4 linked regions of the Sus scrofa genome follow. The protein of the gene in region 1 interacts with the protein of each later gene in a biochemical or structural test. Links are inferred from orthologs where the notes say so. Each region holds a gene or a part of one and is shown in the gene's direction. Other genes may lie near its edges.

What was found. The genes of interacting proteins can lie anywhere in the genome.
Region 2: the proteins of OIP5 (region 1) and HJURP form a complex in vitro, tested with the Homo sapiens proteins (2 studies listed by BioGRID). The link is inferred for Sus scrofa from reciprocal best matches to the Homo sapiens genes OIP5 and HJURP.
Region 3: the proteins of OIP5 (region 1) and MIS18A form a complex in vitro, tested with the Homo sapiens proteins (3 studies listed by BioGRID). The link is inferred for Sus scrofa from reciprocal best matches to the Homo sapiens genes OIP5 and MIS18A.
Region 4: the proteins of OIP5 (region 1) and MIS18BP1 form a complex in vitro, tested with the Homo sapiens proteins (2 studies listed by BioGRID). The link is inferred for Sus scrofa from reciprocal best matches to the Homo sapiens genes OIP5 and MIS18BP1.

The regions. Positions count from the first base shown.
Region 1 is NC_010443.5:130,034,873-130,039,694, forward strand, and holds the start of OIP5 (protein Mis18-beta), read left to right. Parts: upstream 1-1,605; 5' UTR 1,606-1,628; coding exon 1,629-1,950; exon of another isoform or gene 1,951-2,202; coding exon 2,203-2,269; exon of another isoform or gene 2,270-2,742; intron 2,743-4,250; coding exon 4,251-4,373; intron 4,374-4,822. Other genes in the region: NUSAP1 (nucleolar and spindle-associated protein 1), read right to left, coding at 1,159-1,251. UniProt on the Homo sapiens protein: Required for recruitment of CENPA to centromeres and normal chromosome segregation during mitosis.
Region 2 is NC_010457.5:134,119,879-134,124,413, reverse strand, and holds the start of HJURP (Holliday junction recognition protein), read left to right. Parts: upstream 1-1,250; 5' UTR 1,251-1,314; coding exon 1,315-1,410; intron 1,411-1,587; coding exon 1,588-1,654; intron 1,655-4,401; coding exon 4,402-4,457; intron 4,458-4,535. UniProt on the Homo sapiens protein: Centromeric protein that plays a central role in the incorporation and maintenance of histone H3-like variant CENPA at centromeres.
Region 3 is NC_010455.5:195,925,025-195,929,578, reverse strand, and holds the start of MIS18A (protein Mis18-alpha), read left to right. Parts: upstream 1-1,269; 5' UTR 1,270-1,316; coding exon 1,317-1,659; intron 1,660-4,554. UniProt on the Homo sapiens protein: Required for recruitment of CENPA to centromeres and normal chromosome segregation during mitosis.
Region 4 is NC_010443.5:175,446,112-175,450,832, reverse strand, and holds the start of MIS18BP1 (mis18-binding protein 1), read left to right. Parts: upstream 1-1,436; 5' UTR 1,437-2,635; exon of another isoform or gene 2,636-2,985; intron 2,986-4,721. UniProt on the Homo sapiens protein: Required for recruitment of CENPA to centromeres and normal chromosome segregation during mitosis.

The DNA.
Region 1 (4,822 bases):
TTTTAGTAGAAGAGAGAACATACCTACAAAAATTGCCAGTGGAAGGTGGAAAGCCTACAGGGTCTCAAAGAGAGTGATAACATTCTTGTTGGACTGGAGAGTAATTGGGAATTATTCATGCACATGAAGGAGAGAAAAAAGGATCTGAGATTAAAGGGCCAAAATTAGCAAAGAAAGGATGATGGACAAAGGTGCCAAGTGTTCAGGGATCAGTACAGTTTGGATGGTGCTTTGGGTAAAAGAGTCCAGCCAGATTACAAAAATAATTTAGAGATTTAAGGTACAGAATTAAGGTTTGTTTATAAAAATATTGAGGAGCAATTAAACACAATAGCTCAGAAATATTTCCAAAGATAGTCCTTTATCATTTAGCCCCAACAGGTGCAGAGACAGATTATTTTCTTTAAACCACCTAGAAACACTTGTGAGGACTGATTTAGGCATTCATTCAGTGTAAATACGACAGCTTGCTGAACAAATCTCCAGAGTATACATTAATACTGTGTGGGAAAACTCCTCTAGAATATAAAAAACTTCAATCCCAAATTAAAACCCTGCATTTCCCCAAGGGGTTTGCAGTCTCGGAGTCAAAGACTTTACCGGCTTTGACTAGAACACTACCACAGCAGTGGCCAATGAAGGAACTATCCTACTAGATCAGAGCTGTTATAAAAACTTTTCCAAGGTGATGAGAGGGGTCCTCTAAAAGTTCTTTCTTCCAGGTTCCCCATGAAAATAGATTTGGGGCGCTGTTATAACACAAAAAGTGTTCGTTGTTTGCAGTTTTCCAGAAGCCTAGGCAATTATTTCTGCGACTGCCTAACAATCGGCATTTAGAAGCAGCATTCCTTTCGCTTTCTAAGCCTGCGTTTTGTAATTGAAGCCCTGACAATTACTATCGAGTACTTCAAAAAAAAACCCAAGCCAAACCCTTTTGGAGCCGGGGCCTTCGTGAGCCTCCAAAAAAGTCAGCCGCAACATAAGCTGAAAACTACGGCTCCCTTTCGGTTTTGCAAAGTTACTAGGACCCTTGGGTGAACCAAACCAACCGCCCCAGGGCCAGGACAGCCGCCTCAGTCTTTCAGGTTCCCCCCACCCAGCCCCCATCGAGTCTTGAAAAGGCCGCTCATACTACCCCACCCGCCACCGGCCCCATACCCTGAGATTAGCCCGGAGGCCCAGATTCTTGGCCAAGTTCTGCAGGTCACTGTATTTGAAGGAGTCCAGCTCCTCCAGGGAGGACACAATCATGGCGAACTGCAATCCAGGCGACCACGAAGAAGATCAGTAACCCCCTCTCCAAAGCACGGTTGAAAACTCTGGCGCGGCTCGAAGCGTTAACCAAACCGAATTTTATAGAGAGTTTAAATTACGAATGATGCACTTCCATTGGTTAAAACTGCCTCATAGGCAGGGTCTCCCGGTATTGACCAATAGAAAGGCTTATTTCCCCTCCCAGTGACGCACATTCTCCTCCACCCCTCGCCAACACCTGGGCGCCAAACAGTGTGTCCAGGCAACGAGTGCGCGGCAGAAACCCCGATACACGTTGTCCAATGAGGACTCAGGAACTGAGCTTGGGGCGGGGCCTGGCGCGTCTTTGAAACGGAGGCGGGGGCTGCGGGAAGATGGCGGCGCGGCCGCGGAGGCATCGCTCGTGCTATCCAAGGCAGTCGCGGCGTGACTTTTGTGATGGCCCTAAGAAGGCGACTGACGAAACTTCTCTTACGACTTCCATGGAGTGGGACACGCAGGTGGTGAAGGGGTCTTCGCCGCTTGGCCCCGCTGGGCTCGGGCCGGAGGAGCCCCCAGCGGCCCCGCGGCTGCCATGGTGGCTGCAGCCCGAGAGGTGCGCCGTGTTCCAGTGTGCGCATTGCTACGCTGTGCTCGCCGACTCGGTGCACCTCGCATGGGACTTGTCGCGGTCCCTTGGAGCCGTGGCCTTCTCCAGTGAGTGGGAGCAGTGTCTGGGGAAGGCGTAGGCGGGTCGAGAGGGAGTTGCGGCTTTTTATTGGGGGCTTAGAACTCACGGGGAAGAAAACGAGTTGAAAATTTGAAAGAAATGAACTCCTTTGCCAGGGGTGGGTGGGGGCGACTTTTCGTAGTTTTTTTTTGTGGCTGTGATGAGTCTTTCTGGAAGGAAGAGGTTTCCCCTTTCATTGCCTCACAGGTAGTCATTCTGACCCGTGTTTGTTTTCCTAGGAGTCACAAATAACGTAGTTTTGGAAGCTCCTTTCCTAGTTGGCATTGAAGGTTCGCTCAAAGGCAGGTACGTACTGAGAATTCCAGATGGTCATTAAGTCATTCCCAGATTTAATGAGACCGAGGGGGGAATGGAACCGACTTGCACGAGGAGAAAACAGTTTATTCCTACCTTGTGCTAGAAGAAAAGTTTCTTCCATCCATATCTGAAGGATTCTCCTTTTACCTGATTGAGTCTTGTACGAGGTTGATATAGCAATGAAATGGAAAAGCTGTATTTGTGTGTAGGTTTTAAAGTCTGAGGGCCACATCTACCTCGCGCCTTGTGGAAGTGAGTTTAAGAAAGTTATGTCTGGAGTTCCCATCCTGGCGCAGTGGTTAACGAATCCGACTAGGAACCATGAGGTTGTGGGTTCAATCCCTGACCTCGCTCAGTACGTTAAGAATCCAGTGTTGATTTGAGCTGTGGTCTAGGTTTCAGACTTGGCTCGGATATGATGTTGCTGGGAACCTTCCCCTTCATATGCCTCCGGTATGGCCCTAAAAAAACAAAACAAAAAAATGTGGCCATTCTGAATTGAAATATGCTGTGATTAAAGTTTTGAAGAATTTTAAAATATTGATTATATGTTGAAATGATATTTTTGAATAACAGGTAGCATAAAATATATTAAAAATAATTTTGGAGTTCCCATCGTTAAGCGGTTAACCAACCCAACTAGGATCCATGAGGGCACAGGTTTGATCCTTGGCCTTGCTCAGTGGGTTAAGGATCCAGTGTTGCCATGAGCTGTGGTGTAGGTGGCAGACACGGCTCGGATCCCGCATTTCTGTGGCTGTGGTATAGGCCGACAGCTACAGCTCCAATTCAACCCCTAGCCTGGGAACCTCCATATGCAGTGGGTGTGGCCCTAAAAAGACAAAACAAAAAAAACAAAAAAAAAAACTTTCACCTGTTGACAGATTTTTTTTTTTTTTTTTTTTGTCTTTTTGCCATTTCTTGGGCTGCTCACGTGGCATATGGAGGTTCCCAGGCTAGGGGTCGAATCTAAGCTGTAGCCACTAGCCTACGCCAGAGCCACAGCAACACAGGATCCAAGCTGTGTCTGCAACCTACACCACAGCTCATGGCAACGCCGGATCCTTAACCCACTGAGCAAGGCCAGGGATCAAACCCTCAACCTCATGGTTCCTAGTCAGATTCGTTAACCACTGAGCCATGACAGGAACTCCGACAGAAAATTTTTTAAGCAAGACTGATAGAAAATATAAAATTACTTATGTGGCTTGTATTCTTTTTTTTTTTTTTTTGTATTTTTAGGGCTGCACCTGTGACGTATGGAAGTACCCAGGCTAGGGGTCGAGCAGAGCTGTAGCTGCTGGCCTAGATCCCAGCAACCTGGATCCCAGCTGTGTCTGTAACCTACACCACAGCTCATGGCAATGCGGGATCGTTAACCCACTGAGTGAGGGCAGGAATCGAACCTGCATCCACATGGATAATAGTCGGGTTTGTAAACCACTGAGTCAGAACAGGAACTCCTAAAATTAATTTTTTGTTATATCTTTGAAAGAAAAATCCTGATTTGAGTTCCATTAATAAATTGCTTAGTAAGCCCTAATCAAGTTTATTATCATACTTCAACTGGAAATCAATTTGATGGTGGTTAATTTATATGGTCATGTGTAGTTATATACATTTATTTATTTATTTATTTAGGGCTGCATCTGTGGCATATGAAGTTCCCAGGCTAGGGGTCACATCGGAGCTGCAACTGCTGGCCTACACCACAGCCACAGCAACGCCAAATCCAAGCCGGATCCTTAACCCACTGAGTGAGGCCAGGGATCGAACCAGCAACCTCATGGCTCCTAGTTGGATTTGTTCTGCTGCAACACGACGGGAACTCCACAAGTTAACTTTTCTTGAATGTGACATTTCTTCGCTCTCATTTCTATTACAGTCTAATTTTTAGGAATGGGTCCAGAGACATTTTGTCTTTGTTCTCTGATTTTCTTTCTTATCCATATTCTGTTTTTTCCCTCAGCACTTACAACCTTTTATTCTGTAGTTCCTGTGTGATTCCCATTGGTTTCCATTTGTATTCTACCCATGCTGCCCTGGCTGCCTTGAGAGGTCACTTTTGCCTTTCCAGTGACAAAATGGTATGGTAAGTAGACTCATCTTCTGTATCAAATAAATTTTAAAAGATCTTACAAAAAAGGCAGAATGTTTTTACCAGAGAAGATAGTAAACCAAATGTTGTTTCTCACAAAAGAGATGGCAGTAGGGCCAAAATAGAGTCTCATTATCATTTTAGGTGTCTCATAATTGTAATGTTAATAATCAAACCATGGAATAACTGAAAGGATATTCTTTCGCTACAGGAACTTTTGGAAGGTAAGTTTTTGCAAAATCATGTTGTAGTAGACACTGTTTGGGTTTGTGCCCAGCCCTTGTCACCCTGCCTATAGAGGGGACCTTGTGGCCATGTTTGTATTCTGTGTGATACCACTCCTGGGTGGTGGGATCAGGAATGGATACCTGACCTAAGCTAGGTCAATCATGCTTTCTACCTTAAGGATTTGAAATAACCCAGAGACATTGGTCATTTTAGAT
Region 2 (4,535 bases), on another chromosome or scaffold:
GAGGCAATCTTTTATTTTTTTTCTTTTTACAGCCATAGGTGCAGCATATGCAAGTTCTCTGGCTGGGCTGCAGCTGCCAGCCTGAACCTAAATGCAGGCCTCACCCCATCAGCTGAGGCATATTTTGTGCCTCCACTAGTCAAGCAAGCCTGCTTCCTTTTTTTTTTTTTTTTTTTTTTTTTTTTTTTTGTCTTTTGTCCTTTTAGGGCCGCATCCGCCGCATATGGAGGTTCCCAGGCTAGGAGTCTAATCAGATCTATAGCCACCAGCCTACAGCAATCCCGAGCCACAGCAATCCAAGCCTACGCCACAGCCACGTGGGATCCGAGCCAGTGGGATTCGAGCCACGTCTGCGACCTACGCCACAGCCCACGGCAACACCGGATCCTTAACCCACTGAGCAAGGCCAGGGATTGAACCCGCAACCTCATGGTTCCTAGTTGGATTTGTTTCCGCTGCGCCAGGATGGGAATTCCCAAGTCTGCTTCCTTCTGATGGTCCTCTTGAGCAATTAACTTACAGTGGTTTCCCAAATTTCCCTGGATTTCCCTCTCTATGTGTGGTCTGTTATTGGGGCTTCTACAACTAACTATGGAGTATAACTATCCTACTCCATCCCTACGAATATTACAAAATTAATATCAATGGAGCAGAGTATGCAATATGTACGGAAAAGGTGCACCAGGTTAATAAAAAATACCACAGTGTATTTTCCTGAATCATGACGTTTACGCTATTTCTCCTTTCTAAATGCGTGTTCACTTTCATGCTCCTTTTTCTATTCTTTTCCATTGGCAAGTCCTTAGCGTCTTTCTGGGCCCCGGCTTTCTTAACTGAGCAAGGGGCCCAGAAGGGCGGGGAGAGGAAGCTGGCTCAGGGCGGGGCCAGACCCCACCTGTGGTAAGGGGCCACCCTCACCTGCCGCGAGTCCCAGAATAAGTCACCCGGACATCTCCGGTGCAAGACGGGGGACATCATACTCGTGTGGCACTGCTGAATAACAGGCACGCAAACGGCCGCAGGGGAGACCGCGTCACCCTTCTTCCAAAGCTTGGCAGCGCGCTCCCACCCCTCCTTTCCTCCCAGCGCGCGCGCTTCGGGCGGGGCGGGGCCAGAACCTCAACAACGGATTGGCCGAGAGAAAGGCGAGCGAACGTGTTTGAAAGGCCCAATCAGCGCCCGACCTTTCCAGTTTAGCCAATGGGAAACCTGAGGGGCGGGCCGGAAGGGCGGGAGTAGCTATTTGAACGGCAGCGCGGAGCCTGTCCCTTGCCCGGCTTACTGCAAGAGTTGGGTCCTGGGTAACGGCGCGCCATGGAGGGGGAGGTCTGCGGGGAGGACGAGCTCCTGCAGAAGCTCAGGGACAGCCGCCGCCGCTTTCAAAGGCGCATGCAGCAGCTGATAGAGAAGGTGCGGCCGTGGCGGGGCTAGGGGGTGGGTAGAGGAGGAGGGCGGGGGACGGGATGGGAGAAAGAGGCAGGGTTCAGGGCCCCCAGTTTTGCAGCCTCGCACTGCTGCCTTCTTAAGGAGAGTCAGGGGTTGCTCTCGGCCCTCCTATCTCACGAGATGCCCCTTCGTCTCCTACAGTACGACCAGCCCTTCGAGGACGGCCCGGTGGTGCAGATGTCCACGCTGACCTACGAGACGCCCCAAGGTACGAGTCAGGCCCCCTTTCTGAATATTTACGGTCCAGAGTGTAACTAGAATAATGTCTCACTAGAGTGTGAAATGCTGTCCCGTCTCTCTTGAAAATAAACTTTGTTCACCTAGTCGGTACTAAAACAAGTTCCCTTGAACCTATAAATTACTTAATTTACTTATTTCTAACAGAATTACTTATTAAAACAGAGTTCTGAAGACACCTAGATGCATCCTGGTTAAGAATGCCCCTGCCTAGGTTGGCATCCCAGCTGGCCACTTAATAGCCATTGCTTTAGCCAGGCTGTGACTGTTTCTTCATGAAAAGGTAATGACAGTCATGTCTACATGGCATGGATACTATGACAGTGACATGAGACGAAGCTCTTGGAACAGAGCCTGGCAATGGTAAACACTTGAATTGACTGTTATTTGACCTGTTTGACTTGAAGTTCTGAGCCCTTTGGAATTTGACCTAAATCCTGGAGGAGGGACCCATTCTGTTTGATGGCTGATGTGACAGCAGACTTAAATCTCATGGATTCTCTTTGGCAAACAGCTGGAGAAAGTCTGTGCTGAGCGAGGCCAGTTTCTGCTCTTCAGCCTTATTAGCGACTCACCTACTAATAAAAGTGACTCTCAGATGCTGAGACCTGGTTCTGCCATGCCCTGGACAGACAGGCACAAAACCGTAAATAAATGAAGTCCTAGCTCTGCTTTTTTTTTAGCTGACCCAGCTGTACCTTGGGTTAAAAGTTTATGCAGGCAGAAGCTAAGGTCTTCCACCGACAGGTCTCTGCTACTCTGGCCTGTGCCAGGTAGGAACAAATATAACCCAGGGCAGGACACAGGAGTGTGTCATAATCCTTCCTAACCATGCTGTCAGCAGGCTTCACTGTTCTCATGGCCTGTCTGTGCGAGGATGGGCGGTGTCTGGAATATTCTGGTCAAACCCCATATCTTGAACACCACTAGTTTCACCAGTGAAAACTCATCTCGGACTCCAGTTTGATGACAGCAGTAGTCAAAGCATCAGATACTTTAGCATGTGGAAAACCTCCTGGGAGATTATTGAAACAGATTCCTGGGGCCACGGGCCACGATGGCTGTGGACTCCACGTGGGTCTGTGTTCTAACACACTCCTAGCTGATGGGAGAGCAGCCCCCCAGACCTGTCAGTTCCCCTGGAGAGGTGCTCAGGGAGTGGCCTTTCTGATTAAATGCTCACTGACCACCTTTGCAGGGTGATTCCCAACTTAAGGCCACACCAGAGGGGGTAGATTGAAACTAAGGACCACACAGTTTAAGATGAAGACAGCAGGCCAATAATAGTCACTGATACATGTTGACAGCTAAGCGTGTGCCCACACGGCTAAGAGTCTCAGGTATCTCATTCTCAACAACCCTGCCAGGGAGCACAGTTGGCGGCGTCATCGTTTTTTCATAGCAGAGGATACAGTCAGAGAGGGGTCCCCAAACTTGCCCCGGGTCACTCAACCAATGTGGCAAAGCCTTTGTTCAAGCATCACTGTTCTGGAAAGGCTGCACAGCACAGTGGTCAGAAGCCCAGGGTTAAGTCCCCTGGGGTCACAGCCTTGGCTGCGCCTCGTGGGCAAGTGGCCTGGGCTGGTTACTTGACCTTCTCCTTTCCTCCTCTGTCTCCCGACAGTGAACTTGGTGAGTGCCTATCCCAGAGGCATTAGGAGTGCTGTGCTGTGTTGTGTGTGCGTTGTCGTGATGCTCAAGGAGGTGTCCTTGGACAGGGTGGGGACTAGAGCCTCGAACCCTGTAAGCACTTGTGGACATTTTTGCTGCTGTCATCATCCGCAACCATCTCAAGCCTCGCGACCCAGCGGTCCCTTCTTTGTTAACCTGAATTTACCTGGAAGCCCATGGAGGTTTAGGGAGAGACTGAGTATCTTGCCCAGATTCTGCTAGTGAGTCCGTGCAGGACTCCCAAACTCAGGGTTTACCCCATGCCTAGGGCTTGCTGTGTGTAGATTACCCTGAAAAATTACTTATTCTGAACTTGGGGTAAAGAGATTGCCTTCAAAAGGAGCTTTCTGATTGTTATGATCATTATACAACTACAGATGTGATAAATTCATTTGAGTAATAAAAAAATGGAAAAAAAAAAGAGCTTTCTTACTCTCTGAGGATATAATTGCCCTCAATATACGTATATTTTGAGGACAGTACTTGTCATACGGATGCTCCTTGTTTCCATTTATTTTGTGGCTCAGCACCAAATTCAACAAGCTTCCTGCTTGGTAGGAGAGGTTAATGACAGATTTTTTTGTTAACGACCAATTTTTGTCTAGTCTCGATTTAAAAAAGAAAAAGGGAGTTCCTGTCATGCCTCAGCGGAAACGAATCTGACTAGCATCCATGAGGACCCAGGTTCGATCCCTGGCCTCTCTCAGTGGGTTATGGATCCAGGGTTGCTGTGAGCTGTGGTGTAGGTCACAGACATGGCTCGGATCTGGCGTGGCTGTGGTTGTGGCGTAGGCCAACGGCTGCAGCTCTGATTCGACCCCTAGCCTGGGAACCTCCATATGCGGCAGGTGCAGCCCTAAAAAGACAAAATAAAGAAAGAAAAAAGAAAGCCTTCAACCTCACAAAGATGAGAAACAGCAGAATGTCAGAAGGATGGCTGGTCCCGTCTGGGTTACGTTAGATCTTTCTTGTGCCTGTCGCGTGGTTTTCTGTGAATGCAGATTGAACAGAAACTCAACATTGCTTTTTCCTTTTTCTTTCCTTAAGGATTTCGGATTTGGGGCGGAGGATTAGTAAAGGAAAGGAACCCAGGACAAATCCAGGTATTTCATGTTCAATTTTTTCACCAGCCTGCCTTGCTAGGGAGAAAGGTTGATGCAGAGAAAGTGGGAAGGAGTTGT
Region 3 (4,554 bases), on another chromosome or scaffold:
GGCAGACAAACTGGAGCAGGGGCAACCAAAAGTGGAGGTGTCCTTACTGACAGTATTTGTGTCACCCAGGAGCTTGTTAAGCAAATTCTTGGGCCCATCCTGACTTTTTTTTTTGCTTTTTTAGTGGCGTACCCTCGGCATATGGAGATTCCCAGGCTAGAAGTCAAATCGGAGCTACCGCTGCCAGCCTACACCACAGCCACAGCAATGCCAGATCTGAGCTACAGCTGCCAGCCTACACCACAGTTCACGGCAATGCCGGCTACTTAACCCACGGAGTGAGGCCAGGGATTGAACCCTCAACCTCATGGTTCTTAGTCGGATTTATTTTTGCTGCACCACGACAGGAACTCCTGACCTATTGATCGAGAACCTTCAAAGGTGGTTTGGAGGAAGAATGTTGCCTGTCCTGTCAGTAAACAAAGGATGTTTCAGCTATCAAGCCATCGGCCACTGCAACCAACCCAGTTGTGCTTAACTAGATAGTTAAGATGCACATCGAAGGAATGATTTCGATGGGCCCAGATTTTTGCATCTTCCCAGTCTTAGAAAAGTGCTCAATTCGTTAACTTAAGTTGTCTGGTTTTCTTCAGTCAACAGCAATTTTTTGATGTTCCAACTATCTGGGGTTGCTTTTGTTTTGCAAAGACTCCTACATACCCTGGCTCCTCCCTTGCCTCTAGGAGCAGTCCCTCACAGCTATCTGAGAGGCTGACTCCAGGGCAGAAGTCCTTAAGCAAGTCCACCAAATAAGACAAAATTTTCAACTTTTAGGTTGTGCACCCCCCCCGCACCCCGCCCAGTGTACCGGGGGAATCAGAAATCTGTGTTTTAACCAGCTTAGGTGACTCTTAGGCATGCTAAATTTGATGGGTTGTAGTACTTGGAGATGGGACACGCCATAGAAAGCAGCAGTGTAGCCAACTCCTCTATCTCTAGGTGGTGGGTGGGTTGCACATTTGCTTTCCTAACCATTGCCAAGGTCTCCGCGATGGGTCGGTAGTTTAGTCTGCCATCCCTAATTTTTTCAAAGACTCCTCCCCTCCTGTGTTAGAGGGTGAACCCTCCTCCCGAAATAGCCTACGGAGCGGGGCTCCTGCAGTCTCAATTTTCTAAGGTTGGAAAACCTGAGGCAGGAGCATGGACCGCCTGGCTCAGCCCAGCTCCTCTGCGAGCATGCGCGCTACTAGGCTGCCCGCGGTTCCTCTTCCCTTAGACCCCGCCCCTTCGTCACCGCCTCGCTCCGCCCCTTCGCCTCGCGCATGCGTAGGGGCGTTTTTCCCGTCACGCTCCGCGGCGCGGGCAGTTTGTAGCTAATGGCGGTTGCTTGGTCTCCAAATAGTTGCAAAGGATGCTCCTCTACTAGCTGTGCATGTGGCGACAAGGGCAAGTGGAGCGACTCCTTGCTGTTAGGCAAGCGGCTCTCAGAAGACTCTAGCCGCCAACAGCTGCTGCAGAAGTGGGCGAGCATGTGGAGTTCCGTGAGCGAGGACGCGTCGGTGGCCTGCACGGAAAGGACGCGGCGCGAGGAGGCTGCGAAGACCGCGGACGAGGAGGACAGGCCGCTGGTGTTTCTGTGCTCTCGCTGCCGGCGGCCTCTGGGGGACTCCCTGAGCTGGGTGACGAGCCAGGAGGACACCAACTGCATCCTGCTGCGTTGTCAGTTCGGGCCATGGGAGCTTAGGGCTTAGGGCTGCCTTCTTCCCGGGGGTACAGTACCTGCGCGGCCTCGGAGGAGGCGGGGTGGGGGTGTGTGTTTTCTGGCTGCTTGGGGTCTTTAAAAGCAGAAAAGTCTGAGAGGATGAGAAAAGGGGGAGGAGGAGAGTCACCCTTGCACTTTGGGCTCACAAGTGACAAGTCCTTTTCTGGGGTCTCCCATCATTATCGCCGTGAGCATTTCTTAGAGAAAAGTGACAACTAGGTTGTAAGCATTTGGGGCGTGGCCACTCTGTATTACTCCTCGTGGAAATTAGTGGGCTGTTCATCGGTAAATAATAGTGTTCCTGGTTTATTTAGTAAACCAAGCTTCTCAGCTACCTGCTTCTTGCAAGAGATATCAGGTTTGATTTATCAAATCTTATTTGTATCAGCGGAGACTTTACAATCAGAAGTGCTGCAGCCATACAGTTGACAGAACATAATGCTATCCAGAAAATTAAAGGAGACTTGCAATGAAAACAGCAATGATCCCATCAAAATTGGAGAGGAAGGAGGATGTAGTAAAAGTTAAGAAAGTCGCGGCTTTAGCTTTTAATACTGGCTCTACCGATTATCTGTATGTTTCTCCGTTTCCTTGTTTTGTTGTTTCCATAGTGTTTCTTTATTTTTCCATAGTGTTTCAATATTTTTTCTGAGTTGTTGTGAAAATCTCTATTCTTTTTGGACTTGTGGTTTTCAAGATGAAGTTTATATGCTCTGTTTGGATTCTGCAGATAATTTGGTGGCATACATTCACCACCAAAATTTATTAACATTTGTGGAATGTTTGCCTTCCTGGGATATATTAAGAAGAAAGTAGGGCAGCGGGTGTCCACCTGAAACTTTTTGCAACCTATAGTTTTCCTTAAGGATGCATCAGTTCATTGACAATAATTGCCGGGAGTCCCTTTCAGTTATTAAACATAAGCCTAAGGACATACATTTCCCATAGTAATTCACTAAGATTAACCCTTTGCACCTATTAAATTGTGCAGAAGGATGTAAAAGTAAAAAGAACTTATCCTCCTGACCCTGATATTCTCATGGTCCCAGAGTTCAACGTGCTTTATTCTCGTTTATACTTCCAGATACTCTTCATGCATTTATGAGCATATTTAAACATATATCTTAAAATTTTTACAGTATAGTTGATTACAGTGCCAATTTCCGCTTCTGCGGTATAGCAAAGTGACTCGGTTATACACATATATACCTTCTTTTTTATTTTCTTTTCTATTATGGTTTATCCCAGGAGATTGGATATAGTTCTCTGTTCTATACAGTAGGACCTTACCCGCTGTGTGTGTAATACTTACATCTGCTAAACCCAACATCTCTCAGTTCATCCCCCTCTTCCCCTGTCTATGAGTCTAAACATGACAGTATGAGAGGGTTTTTTTTTGTCTTTTTGTCTTTTTAGAGCTGCACCTGTGGCATATGGCTAGGGGTCAAATTGGAGCTGCAGCTGCTGGCCTGCACCACAGCTACAGCAAGACGGGATCTGAGCTGCGTCTGTAATTTACACCATAGCCAATGGCAACGCCGGCTTAACACTGAGCGAGGCCAGGGAAGGAACCTCGAGTCCTTATGGATACAAGTCGGGTTTTTTAATTTTGTGGCCACACCCATGGCATATGGAATTTCCTGGGCCAGGGATTGTTACCTACCATGCAGCTGTGGTGACACTGGATCCTTTAACCCACTGCACCAGACAGGGGATGGAACCCACACCTGCACAGTGACCTGAGTTGCTACAGTTGGATTCTTAACCCACTGTGCCATGGTGGGAGCTCCAACATGTAAATTAAAACACACACACTTGAGATTATATTCTTTTTTTTTTTCTTTTTTGTCTTTTTGCCATTTCTTGGGCGTCTCCCGTGGCATATGGAGGGTCCAAGGCTAGGGGTCTAATCAGAGCTGTAGCCACCAGCCTGCACCAGAGCCAGAGCAACACGGGATCCGAGCCTCGTCTGTGACCTACACCACAGCTCATGGTAACGCTGGATCCTTAACCCACTGAGCAAGGCCAGGGATCGAACCCGCAACCTCATGGTTCCTAGTCGCATTCATTAACCCCTGAACCACAACGGGAACTCCTGAGATTATATTCTTTATACTTGTAAGAATCCTTACTTTTTTATCCTTCACAGATATTCCGAGTGTTTTTCTATATTAGTGCATATAGATACACTTTACGTTTTTAACAGCTGATTGTTGTACCCTTGCTGAGAGGGTTTGATATAGGTGATGGCCCTCAACTGCATGGGTTTGAATCCTGACCTGCCACTTACTAGCTGTGTCTTTTGGGGCAAGCTGCTTAGCCTCTCTTTGCCTCAGTTTTCTCCTCTGAAAGATGGGGGTAATGAGGAGGATTAAGTGAGTTACGGCGTGTCATGTGCTCAGATGACATAGCTGGTGCCACTTAGTGATTTATTTGATGGAGATGCCATTCTTCCTCCCAGTCTGCCCCTCTTGATAGAGGTCTAGGCTTTTTACCGCGTTGCCACCGTTAGAACAGCTTGTATGTATTTGAGTTGAGATTTTTTTTTTTTTTTTTGGTCTTTTTTGCCATTTCTTGGGCCGCTCCCTGGGCATATGGAGGTTCCCAGGCTAGGGGTTGAATTGGAGCCGTGGCCACAGCCACAGCCACAGCAACGCAGGATCCGAGCCACATCTGCAACGTACACCACAGCTCACGGCACCGCCGGATCCTTAACCCACTGAGCAAGGCCACGGATCGAACCCACAACCTCATGGTTCCTAGTCAGGGTCATTAACCACTGAGCCACGACAGGAACTCCCTGAGTTGAGATTTTGATGCAGTAGGAGAAGCTCTTTCTTTTAGTAGGTGAG
Region 4 (4,721 bases), about 45 Mb from region 1:
TATACTGTCTCTATTATACAACAATCTTCTTGACAGTCTTTTCTACTGAAGAATCCTCCTCTTAAAAGCCTGTAAAACCTCCCTGTTGATTCCATTTTCAACCTTCCTCTAAGCCCAGAGAGGACAGTAGTATTTGCACAGTTATGCCTTACACTGGGAACACAGAGTGAAAGGAGACAAAAATCCTAATTCAGGGCTACATGTTACAAGTGTAGGATCTTGCAACTTTGGCATTACTGACATTTTAATCTTGATAATTCTTTAAGAATTATCAATAGCTGCCCTGTGCATTATAGGATGTTTAGCAGCATTTCTATCCTCTACTCAATAGCTACAAGGGCCATCCTTCTCAGTCCTGACATTCATATTTCCAGACATTGCCAAATGTCCTCTAGGGGTGCAAAATTATCCCTGGTTGAGAACCACTGGCCTTGATGAAAGAGTATCTTTTTTCTAATTCCCCCCAAAATGCTATATGGTCAAGTAGTGCCCCTACTGGAACTTACCATGGTGCTGGGAATATTCCTCCAAGCTCAGCAGACTCAGATCCCTTGGTAGCAACTCCCACACAACGATTAGAGGAATCGGCTCCTCCAATATCTGTCTTTTGGACCCTAAGTGGGTCTGTATACATTCCCAAGAGTTACAGACTTAGGACAGATTATTCCAGCTGCCTGACTGTGAATATAAGAAGCTCTCCATCCCCAGCAGATATAAACTTAAACGGTCCATCCGAGGCAGCATATCAATGTCCAACGGACAGATGAACATTGTCCCTTGGCCTGTATGCCTTCTCTCTGTACTTTTTTACCCACAAGCTGTTATCCAGGTTTCCTTAGAAAATTATTTGTCATTCTTATGTAAATTCCTGTTGCAGTTCACTCTGGAGCGCACTAGATCCTAGTTACTTCTCACACGAGAAACAGTTAATTTAAAAAATTAAACTGAGTACCTGCCCTTAATATTTCAAGGTTCCTATTTTGACTGAATGTTGTGAGTCATGTCTATCTCTATCATCAGGAATAGAAAACTTTCACATTTCCATTTCAGATGCTTTGAAATATGAATGCCTGTCTCTTTAAAACCCCTCTATCCCACAGAGTTTATTTCATAGATGTCATTAAACACATATTTTTAAGTCTGGCTTTTCCCACAGATCTGGTGCAAATCCATGTCCAGTCAATTTCCCATTATGCTGCAGAAATAGAAACTTCATTTATCTACATGGATTTTCTTAGGTGGGGAATCGTACATGACCTGCTATGCACCACCTAAACTCTAATCAGACTTAAAATCTAGAAGGCTGATCCCCTGGGGAACAATGAGCTGCCTTGGAGACCAGTTAAAGAGTCATTCATCAGACGATGTTCTTTTACAACTGCCCTCTACCCCCCACCCAAAACCATTACTTACATTCCTAAGGAAACTGCCTCCCCCTAACCCTTGAATACTGACCTAGCCCAAGAACAAACCTGTGCTGAAAATAGAAACTACCCCTTTTCCTACATCACTAACTGCTCCCTAAGCAGCGGAGAACCTGAGCTCTCTCCCGACTCCTGGCCAATCTGTTGGTCCATAAAACTGGCTTGAAGTCTCAGAGCTCCAGCCTACTGTCTCTTCTTTGATTTTTCCGCTCTGACAGATTTGCTTTCCTCGTTCTACCCCCCAACTGGTTTCTTTTTTTTCTTTACTTGCAATCATTTTATGCTTTAAATTTACATTTTGGATTCTGAATATTTGGTGAATACAGGATTTAGTGGATACAGACTTTAGAAGAAGGGCTCGCAACCATCTCTTTAAAAAATTAATTCATTACAGCCATTTCAGTCCAGTCTTATCGGACAGATGCGATACATGATTCTAGGATGCTGAGAACTTTTCTTGGATGAAGCAAAAAATAAACTCTCCTGTCCTAAATGCGTACTTGGTGAGGAGGGGGGCGGAGTTCATGGAAAGAAGGTGCAGGATTGGAGCCAGAAGGGATTTAGGGCTGAAAACACTAGTTACTCCTCTGGCTCCTTTTTCTCTGCCAAGACTGAAACAAGGGGCACTACACAATGCTTCCGGCCGGCAACTGCGGCTTGCTGGGGCGCTGAAGCGGGGGATACACAGTGCTCCGCCGTGGCTACGGCACAGCATCACTGGGTGTGGTCTGATACGGCTCGGTCTAACTGCAACTGTAAGGCAAACCAGGGTAGCCGAGATTAAGGCTTTAGGATTCAGTAAGTTTCTTAAAAACAAAGCAAAACAAAAGAAAATTTCCCGGGGGGAATAGCTCAAACTAAGTATCCCATTGCGAGTATAACTTTGCATTTAGTCCATTGTTTCAAGAACAAAACGCTCCTTCTCGGCCTCAAATACCTGACGGCCTGAGAAAACTAAAGGCTCTTAAACGGATTCGGCAAGCAGTTTTCTTTCAGACGGAAGGGAATGCACAACCAAATTCTATCAGCATTCACGCCAGTAGGGGAGGAAGGTAGCCGGGAAGGACCAAAATTAAAAACCCACAGAAGTGCCAGAGCGCGCAGACGACGTCTGACGTAGTCTTCCTGCCGCAGAGCATTTCGGGAGGAACGGCAGAATGCGGGGTTGGCTCCTTCTCTGAAGAGGAAATTAATTTCGAGGACAGCTAGAGGTGCGTGCCCGGTACCCGTGGCAACTTGGGGTTGCCTACGTTTTGTAGAAAGAGCACTGCCCTCGCGGAGCGGGGACCGCCCCACGTTTTCCTGCGTCCCAGAGAGACGCGTGGTGACGCAATTCCTGAGCGCGCCAATCCCTGGTGCCTGGAGGGCAGGCTCTTAAAATTTGAATTGCCAGATAGTTTTGGTGTTAGGGAACCTCAAGGAGGTGGTGAGCGTCACCTGGTGCTCGGCCGCTGCGGCCGACTTGGGCCAGAGGCAGAAGCCGTGGTGTTCCTGCCCGCCCTCTAAGCGAAGTCGAGCCCGGGCCGCCGCCGTCTCTACGGTGCCGGTCTCTTCACCCAAGGTACGGCCTCTTCGCCCCGCTTCTTTCGTCTCCTCTCTCCCGTCCCTTCTGGCACTGTGACTTCCAGCACTTCAGCGTAATGGTCCCACGCAGACTTTTTTTTTTTTTTTTTAATTTTCCCACTGTACAGCAAAGGGATCAAGTTGTTTTTGTACATTTTTGCCTTTGGCAGTGGTATCACAACTGCTCGTTCATTAGGTGTGATTTGTTGCGTTTCTGCTGTAGTTATTACGGAAGTAGACCACTTCCGTTCAGATTCGTTTCGATGGTGAGCGCTCTAAACTTTACTCTAAAATCACTTCTAGAAAAAAAAAAAGTTTCAGATAATTACCAAGTAGAAAAATTGTGTGCGTCACCGTCACTTCCTGATTCTTCACCTTGGAACCTAGGATTCACAAAGCTAAAGAAACAATTGATCCATCCAGCTTATGTTTTCTTTTGATTACATATTAGTTGCAAATACTTACAAATGTTAAATTAAAAAATATTTAGGAAATGGGAGCCCTCTTCATCCTACTTCTCAAAGATAAACTCTGTTTACAATTTGGTCTACTTCCAGTTTTTTTTTTTTCCCCTATGTCTATGTATTTCCCTCTTCCTTTATTTAGGTGTTTATTTATTTATTTATTTCAGAAATTCAGTTACACCTCCTGTTCCTTTTCCTTTTTTAACTTAGTATATCCTAGTTGTTTTCTATGTCAGTGTGTATGTATATTCTTTTAGTGGAATAGGTAGAATTCAGTTGTGTGGATGTAGCAGAATTTTGTCCCATCTTGGTAGACATCTAGATTGTTTCTAATTAGCCCAGTACTTCAGTGAACATTCTTTTATACTGCCTCTTTAAGAACTTGGGCTTTAAAATCGGATAGCTGGGGGTCCTGCTCATAATCATTGTCAGTGGGACTGTGGGCTGGTTATTTAATCACTCTATGCCTTAGTTTCCTAATTCTCAAAATGAGAATAACAACAGTACTTTACTCTTAAGCATTGCTGTAAGATTAAGTAGTGTCTAGCATATATGCAGTAAATGTTGACTATTATTACCACATGTATTTGCATTCTTGTATTGATGTTTCTATAAGAAAAAAATTAAAAGTGGAATTTCTTGAACAATGGCATGCACATCTATATTGTGGAATTAATCTTTACCAATCTGATAAGCATAAGTAGTTTCACTGTTTTAATTTATAAGCTCTTCATTAATTAGTAAAAATAAGTCTCATTTTCACTTATTCATTAGCCTTTTGTACTCTGTTAATTCCCTTTCATTTCCTTTAGCCATTTTCTCTTGATCATTTCTTTAAACTGATTCATTTGTTTTCTTTGCATATTGTATGTATCAGCCCTTTCTATGTCATATGCTGCATGTATTTTTACCCAAGTGTATCATTTGCCAATTAACTTAATATCATTTTTTTCCCAACTATGCAAGAATGCAAATACATATGGTTTTGTGTCATTGTGCCTTGGGACTTGTAACTCATTCCATTATAATTATTGTTAATATTACTACCCCAATAGTAAATTCCAAAGACTTTTCATGTCTTTTAGGAAGAAATGTAAAAGTTATATTCAGTATCATATCCACGATAATAGTTGTTTAGCCTTACTTCTGTATACCATAAATGCTCACAGTGAAATTTTATTGGAGTGTAGTTGACGTAGAAAGATGTGTTAGTTTCAGGTGTACTGCAAAGTAAATCAGTTATACATGTAATTATCTACTTTTAGATGAA